2 linked regions of the Cricetulus griseus genome follow. The protein of the gene in region 1 binds, or shares a complex with, the protein of each later gene. Links are inferred from orthologs where the notes say so. Each region holds a gene or a part of one and is shown on either strand. Other genes may lie near its edges. The genes, in order: Vps54 and Vps52.

Region 1 (3,819 bases):
ACCATATTGGTACAGTTATTTTTGTTTAAATTTTTTTATAGACTTGCAGATCAAATGAGAATGTTGAATTTTCCCCAGTGGATTGATCTGTTAAAGGATATTTTCTCTAAGTTTACAGTTTTCCTACAGAGAGTTAAGGTAAGCTTACACATCAGTTGCCTATAATAGCTCTGAAATTCAATCAGCTTTCTGGACAGAACTCATAGAACTGAAATGTATTTGGATGTAGGTCAGCCTTTATGTACATAATGATGTCTTTAAGCCTTGGTTTTAGTTTCTTTCGTTTCCCTTAGTCTGTCTTCATGATTGGACTCACTTGGCGTCCACTGATTTTGGATTTGAACTTGGAGTCTGCTTCCTTAGAGTCATGTCCACTCCCAAAAAGAAATCAAATGCTTGAGAGAGGAAGTAGTGTATAATGAGATTTGCAACCATGAATGTCAAAGTCCCTTATATCTTAATAGTTCATAAAGATACTAATTTATACGAACTATTTTTCATTCACCTAGCTTGCAGTGTTTATTGAGTATATCCTCTGTATCAAGTACCATTGTTTAGGATATTAACATTGAGGCAGATCTAACAATGTAGCAGAAAGAGACCAAATAAATAAAAAGATAATTTTAAATGATAATAAATATCCTTAAACAACAAGCAAAACAAAACAAAACCCACAACGAAACCACCACTGTGTAGTGGTCTAAAGCTGTTGTAGAGAGTCAGGGAAGGTCTCTTCGAGAAAGCTGCTGTTTGTGACAGAACCCAAGTGATGGGAAGGACAGTGTGCAAAGGTCACAGTGAGGAGCACTCTCTGCAAAGGAGGAAGCGTTGCGTGAGAACAGTCTTGGGATGTTCAGACAGAGAAGGAGCTGGCTGTCACAGTAGCCAACCAGTGAGAGAATGTTGATGTAAGAGATGGACAGGCCCTGGGAATACTAAAGGACATAAGTTATTTTTCTTTAAGCAGGCATATTTACTACTATTAAGTTTCTCTGAGAGACAGGTTATATCTGGTACAGCATGTTCAAGAGGTTAGTGAAATGTATAGTGTGTTGTAGGGAAATTTCCATAACAAATGAGTTGGAGAGTAGGTACTCTGATTTCTAAGCTGTAGTGAACCTGCCTCACTTGTGCTGTTTGCCTTCACAAATCACTGTTACTGTACAATTCAAGACTGATAAAAATTGTAACAGTTGTTATGGGACTTTGATGCATTTATGATCATAGATGTTCAGAATTGTGTCTACATAATAAACTTTTGTTAATCTTAGGTTCATGATATTTAAATGCATCGTTCTAAAACATGTCCTACGTTTTCTTTTTGTAGGCAACATTGAATATCATTCACAGTGTTGTTCTCTCAGTTCTTGACAAAAACCAGAGGACTAGAGAACTGGAGGAGATTTCACATCAGAGGAGTGCTGCAAAGGACAATGCCTTGGACACAGAGGTGGCTTATTTGACCCACGAGGGCTTGTTCATAAGTGATGCTTTCGGGGAGGGTGAGCTAGCACCTGCAGCAGTTGATACTACCTCTCAGAGAAACACATCTCCAAATAGTGAGCCCTGCAGCAGTGATTCAGTATCTGAACCAGAGTGTACTGATTCTTCATCCAGCAAGGAGCAGACATCTGCATCTGCTACACCAGGAGGCATAGATGTTATGTGAGTGTAGTTGCTTTTGTGACAATGATAACTCTTTGAATGTTTCAGTAAGATTGAGAATTCAATTTAGTTTTTAAAATGTAACCTTTTTGTCTTGGAACTAAACTGTATTCTATGAAAATATACTTCAATTTGAAGACATGTAGAAGGTGTGGAGGTGAGCCTTGGAGATAGTGGAGACATTGTAGGACTTCAGACTGGTGAGGAACTTGAATTATTTAATGGATGTCCTCATTTCAGCACTGTGGTAATAGATTCCCAGGAAGCTTAGGAGATTTATGTAAAGTAAACAGAACTGTTCCTGGAACCCATGTCCAATACTGTTCTGGCAATTTTTCTCTGCCGTCTCTCTGTTCTGCTACTTTCTTATTTTATAATAGTAAAGATGTATTTGACTTACATGTCTGATTTTTTTCAAAGGCATGAGTTTCTTAGTGGATCACATTGCTTTTAAAAAAAATCATTTGTAAAAATGTGTCTTGGAATTATTTCAGGTTTACAGAATATTTGCCATAGCAGTACAAACACTAACATATCCTTCATCCAAAGTCCCCAGTTCTGAATAGTACCACACAGTAAACTGTACAGTTTCCCTCTTTTTCCTTCTTTACCTTTCCCGTTTTCTTTGTGTCTACAATCAGACATGATGCCTCTTTATCCCAGATACTAGAGTGTGTAATTACTAAAGCAGAACATTCTTTTACATAATCCAATTACTGTAGCAGTTAAGTTAATTAGATAATTATTCCCACATAGACCACAATCTTAAGTTTACCAGGTAGCCCTATAATATCTGGTATCTAAAAAGACAAAACAAAACCTATAATGCTTTAATTGTTAGTATTGTCATTTACACATTAATCTACTTCTGGTCCAGAGCTCATGGAGCTCACATTTTACTTGAGGTCAATTTATTAGACTTTTCCTTCCTACCAAAACAATAGCTGAACTGCGTTAGTAAATGTATATTTTATTTATATTTATTTTAGTATATTTTTCTGTGTTCAGGATCATATCTTTATATTTACTATTTATAATTATTGCTATTAAAATTCTGTGTCTTGACTGGGCATGGTGATGCATGTCTTTAATCCCAGCATCTGGTAGTGGGGTGTGGGAGGGTGGCAGAAGCAGGTGAATCTCTGTGAGTTCAAAGCCAGCCTAATCAGAAGATAAGACCTTATTTCAATTAGAAATTTGAACTTTTAAATTTGAGTGAGTTCTTTTGTTGGAGTTGGTATTAGTACCAGACTGTTTATCTAGAAATTGTTTTGAGCAATGCAGAGTTAATTTAGTCAGTTAAAAGAGGACCTTGAGTTTTATACGGGAACACAGCTGGTTGTGGTGGCATGTTCTTGAAATCCCAGAGCTGGGGAGGCAGAGACATGTAAATTCCTGTGGCTCAGAAGCCAGCCAGCCTGGCCTTCTTGCTGAGCCAATGAGAGGCCCTGTCTCATACAGAGGTAAATGGATGCTGAGGAAGGAAACCAAAGGCTGCTCTCTGACTCCATTTGCATCCACCACATCCGTGTACTTACACCCCTCCCCCCATACACACACACACACACACACATACACACACACACACACACACACACACACACACACACACACACACACTTACTTATATTGCTGAGGAAGCTTAATGAATTAGAGACCAATTCTGGTTTTAGTCTTACTCTTGCAACTGTGGGTACACAAACTACTGAGGTTTGGTGTCTACCTGCCTCAGTATGAGAACTGAACAGGAGTGTCCTGAGAGTACTTTGATGCTATTAACCCTGCATTATTTTAAGGCATTAATAGCTAAGTGTGGTGGCATTATAATTTTGAGGGACAACAAATGATAACTTTCATCAATATCTTAACCCAGTTAGAGTAGTAAGTTGCTTCTAAGCAATAGAAATCAGAGTCTGAATAATTGTGTTATTCAGACAAAAGGGTTATAAGTGACACAGACACTTGACTTGGCTTATGATGACACTAAACTGAACTGTTGGCATAGAATTGGTGGCCTTTATGGTATGTTTATTTTAAAATAGGAAAATCTTACATTTCTCCTCAAAATATAAATACAGCTGTTGAATACAGTTTTTTGTTTGTTTGTTTGTTTGTTTGTTTGTTTTTCAAGACAGGGTTTCTCTGTGTATCTTT
Region 2 (3,819 bases), on another chromosome or scaffold:
GAAATCCATCCGGGACTGTATCCTCCGCACAGGGGAAGACACGCGCTGTCACTGACCTGGGGTGTGTGGGACCCCGGGACTGTATCCTCCGCAGAGGGGAGACACGCGCTGTCACTGACCTGGGGTGTGTGGGACCCCGGGACTGTATCCTCCGCAGAGGGGAGACACGCGCTGTCACTGACCTGGGGTGTGTGGGACCCCGGAACTGTATCCTCCGCAGAGGGGAGACACGCGCTGTCACTGACCTGGGGTGTGGGACCCCGGGACTGTATCCTCCCCACAGGGGAAGACACGCGCTGTCACTGACCTGGGCTGTGGGACCCCGGGACTGTATCCTCCACAGAGGGGAAGAGAGCGCTGTCACTGACCTGGGGTGTGGGACCCCAGGACTGTATCCTCCGCACAGGGGAAGACACGCGCTGTCACTGACCTGGGGTGTGGGACCCCGGGACTGTATCCTCCGCAGAGGGGAGACACGCGCTGTCACTGACCTGGGGTGTGTGGGACCCCGGGACTGTATCCTCCGCAGAGGGGAGACACGCGCTGTCACTGACCTGGGGTGTGGGACCCCGGGACTGTATCCTCCCCACAGGGGAAGACACGCGCTGTCACTGACCTGGGCTGTGGGACCCCGGGACTGTATCCTCCGCAGAGGGGAAGAGAGCGCTGTCACTGACCTGGGGTGTGGGACCCCAGGACTGTATCCTCCGCACAGGGGAAGACACGCGCTGTCACTGACCTGGGGTGTGGGACCCCGGGACTGTATCCAACGCACAGGGGAAGACACGCGCTGTCACTGACCTGGGGTGTGGGAGCTGTGATGCAGGTAACCCGGTAGGGTGGCATCTCTCTCGGTCCCTTTGGGGACACTAGGGGGAGGCGATGCTGGTCCTCAGAGCTCTGTGTTCACTGTGAAGCCCTTGACTTTTGTGGGTCAGACATCCAAGAGAGTGAAAACATAGCGTCCCTGCACAATCAGATCACAGCCTGCGACGCTGTCCTGGAGGTAGGTGTCCCTCCCCTGTGGCCCCTGACACCCTCTGTTTTTTTTTTTGTTTTGTTTTGTTTTTTTGTTTTGTCAGCACTTTTGTTTCCTTGGGCAAATGGAGGTTTTCCATGCTCCTGAGCTGTTGGATACTGGGGTATTCACTCAGACACTTGGGTGACACACTTGTCCCTGCCAACCCTGTGGCATGCCTACAGTGTTTTCTGCCCTTCCCATAGCGCATGGAGCAGATGCTGGGAGCTTTTCAGAGCGACCTGAGCTCCATCAGCTCTGAGATCCGGACCCTTCAGGAGCAGTCAGGAGCCATGAACATCCGTCTTCGTAATCGACAAGCTGTTCGGGGGAAGCTTGGGGAACTTGTAGATGGGCTGGTGGTGCCCTCTACTCTGGTCACGTGAGTCGATGGTTTGAAGGGTCGTGATGTCCAGAGCAGGTGGTTGAGCTGGGGTACCTATCCAGTCTACAACATAGGTCCAGGCTGAGGTTGTCAAGTGCTGTTTAGGTACCAGGTGTGCTGGCTCAAGCCTGTAAGCACACGATTGGGAGGTCAGGCAGGGGGATTGCTGCAAGTCACCAGCCTGGGCCACAGAGTGGGACCTTCTAAAAAAAAAAGGTGCATTCTAGAGATTAATGGATGGATTATAATGTCAGATGTGTATCGGGGCCTGTGGAGAGGTGGGGCTCAGGAGTTGAAATCTTCGTACCTATGATGAAGGTATGAGACTGAGGAGAGGTAGACATGTCAGGAGGGGTGTGGCTTGCGTCTGTTTCAGGACTGTCGAGTGCCCCTTCAGATCACCCCTCTCCTCCCTGCTCTGCAGAGCCATTCTGGAAGCTCCAGTGACAGAGCCCAGGTTTCTGGAACAGCTGCAGGAACTGGACGCCAAGGCAGCTGCGGTCAGAGAGCAGGAGGCCAGAGGCACAGCGGCCTGCGCAGACGTCAGAGGCGTGCTGGACCGGCTCCGGGTCAAGGTGGGGAGGGGACCGCTAGAATCAACCCCAGGAACTCACTCTGCTCCCCTCAGTGCGGGGCATCGTTGGCCCTCTGGTTTCCCTGAAAATCTACAGAGGCTGGAGCTGTGGCTCAGCGGGTAGTGGGCTTGCTTAGGGCGCCCGAAGCCCTGGGATCCACCCCCAGCTCTGCAAACATGGGCATGGTGGCCCTTGTCTACTGTGCTAGAACTCATGAGATGACAGGAAGAAGATCTGAAGCTTCAGAGTGATCTCTGCGGCACAGGGCGTTGTGGGCTTTTACTGTGAGGAAGGAAGGAAGGAGGTGACAGACAGGACCGTGGAGGGGAGGGAGAGAATACTTCCGGTGTGTACAGAGGTACATGAGACTCTGTCTCAAAACCAAACAGTGCTGGCTTTGGCAGCATAGAAACTCAAATTAGAGCACTACAGAGAAGATTAGCATGGCCTCTGTGTAAGGACACAAAAATTGATAAAGCATTCCATATTTAAAAGGGAAAAAAGAAACAGATAACCTGAAAATGTGAGGCCAGGCATGGTGGTAAGACATTTTAGCCCTAGCACTGGGGAGGGAGAGGCAGATGGACCTGTGTGAGTTCCAGGACAGCCTGGACTACACACAGAAACCCCGACTCAACAAAAGTAAATAAATAATAACACAGCACACATCGGAAGTATTCTCTCCCTCCCCTTCGCCGTCACGTCTGTCTCCTCCTTCCTCCACACAGTAAGAGCCCACAACATCATGACCTGTTTGTCCCCTCACCTAGGCGGTGACGAAGATCCGAGAGTTCATCCTCCAGAAGATTTATTCATTCAGAAAGCCGATGACCAACTATCAGATCCCCCAGACGGCCCTGCTGAAGTACAGGTCGCCACCCCGGGACGGCCTGTGAGCTTCTTAACGGCCCAGCATGGATGTCCAGGGTCTGACTCGCCCTGGCCCTTCCAGGTTCTTCTATCAGTTCCTGTTGGGCAACGAGCGAGCAACAGCCAAGGAGATCAGGGATGAGTACGTGGAGACGCTGAGCAAGATCTACCTGTCTTACTTCCGCTCCTATCTGGGGCGGCTCATGAAAGTGCAGGTGAGCCAGGCAGGGACAGGCGGGGACAGGTGTCTGTAGGCAGGGGCTTGGAGGAGGGACTGAGTTCCTCACCTGCTGGTGGTGGGCAGCCATGGTTGAGCTCTCTGTTGTTTTCTCTAGTACGAGGAAGTTGCTGAGAAGGACGATCTGATGGGTGTGGAAGACACAGCAAAGAAAGATATCCTGGACCAGGGAGCCTCGCGTCAGGCTCACCTCCCTCAAGTCAGGCTCCACCTCCCTCAAGTCAGGCTCCACCTCCCTCAAGTCAGGCTCCACCTCCCTCAAGTCAGGCTCCACCTCCCTCAAGTCAGGCTCCACCTCCCTCAAGTCAGGCTCCACCTCCCTCAAGTCAGGCTCCACCTCCCTCAAGTCAGGCTCCACCTCCCTCAAGTCAGGCTCCACCTCCCTCAAGTCAGACTCCACCTCCCTCAAGTCAGACTCCACCTCCCTCAAGTCAGGCTCCACCTCCCTCAAGTCAGGCTCCACCTCCCTCAAGTCAGGCTCCACCTCCCTCAAGTCAGGCTCCACCTCCCTCAAGTCAGGCTCCACCTCCCTCAAGTCAGGCTCCACCTCCCTCATGTCAGGCTCCACCTCCCTCAAGTCAGGCTCCACCTCCCTCAAGTCAGGCTCCACCTCCCTAATTCAGGCTCCACCTCCCTCAAGTCAGGCTCCACCTCCCTCAAGTCAGGTTCACCTCCCTCAAGTCAGGCTCCACCTCCCTCAAGTCAGGCTCCACCTCCCTCAAGTCAGGCTCCA

Evidence for each region.
Region 2: Vps54 (region 1) and Vps52 share a complex: the UniProt entries of both Homo sapiens proteins name them as parts of the golgi-associated retrograde protein (GARP) complex. The link is inferred for Cricetulus griseus from reciprocal best matches to the Homo sapiens genes VPS54 and VPS52.

Annotation. Positions count from the first base shown.
Region 1 is NW_023276807.1:85,247,974-85,251,792, reverse strand, and holds part of Vps54 (vacuolar protein sorting-associated protein 54), read left to right. Parts: intron 1-41; coding exon 42-138; intron 139-1,327; coding exon 1,328-1,665; intron 1,666-3,819. UniProt on the Homo sapiens protein: Acts as a component of the GARP complex that is involved in retrograde transport from early and late endosomes to the trans-Golgi network (TGN).
Region 2 is NW_023276806.1:232,054,021-232,057,839, reverse strand, and holds part of Vps52 (vacuolar protein sorting-associated protein 52 homolog), read left to right. Parts: coding exon 1-17; intron 18-938; coding exon 939-1,006; intron 1,007-1,224; coding exon 1,225-1,400; intron 1,401-1,827; coding exon 1,828-1,978; intron 1,979-2,366; exon of another isoform or gene 2,367-2,470; intron 2,471-2,748; coding exon 2,749-2,849; intron 2,850-2,930; coding exon 2,931-3,063; intron 3,064-3,183; coding exon 3,184-3,241; intron 3,242-3,819. UniProt on the Homo sapiens protein: Acts as a component of the GARP complex that is involved in retrograde transport from early and late endosomes to the trans-Golgi network (TGN).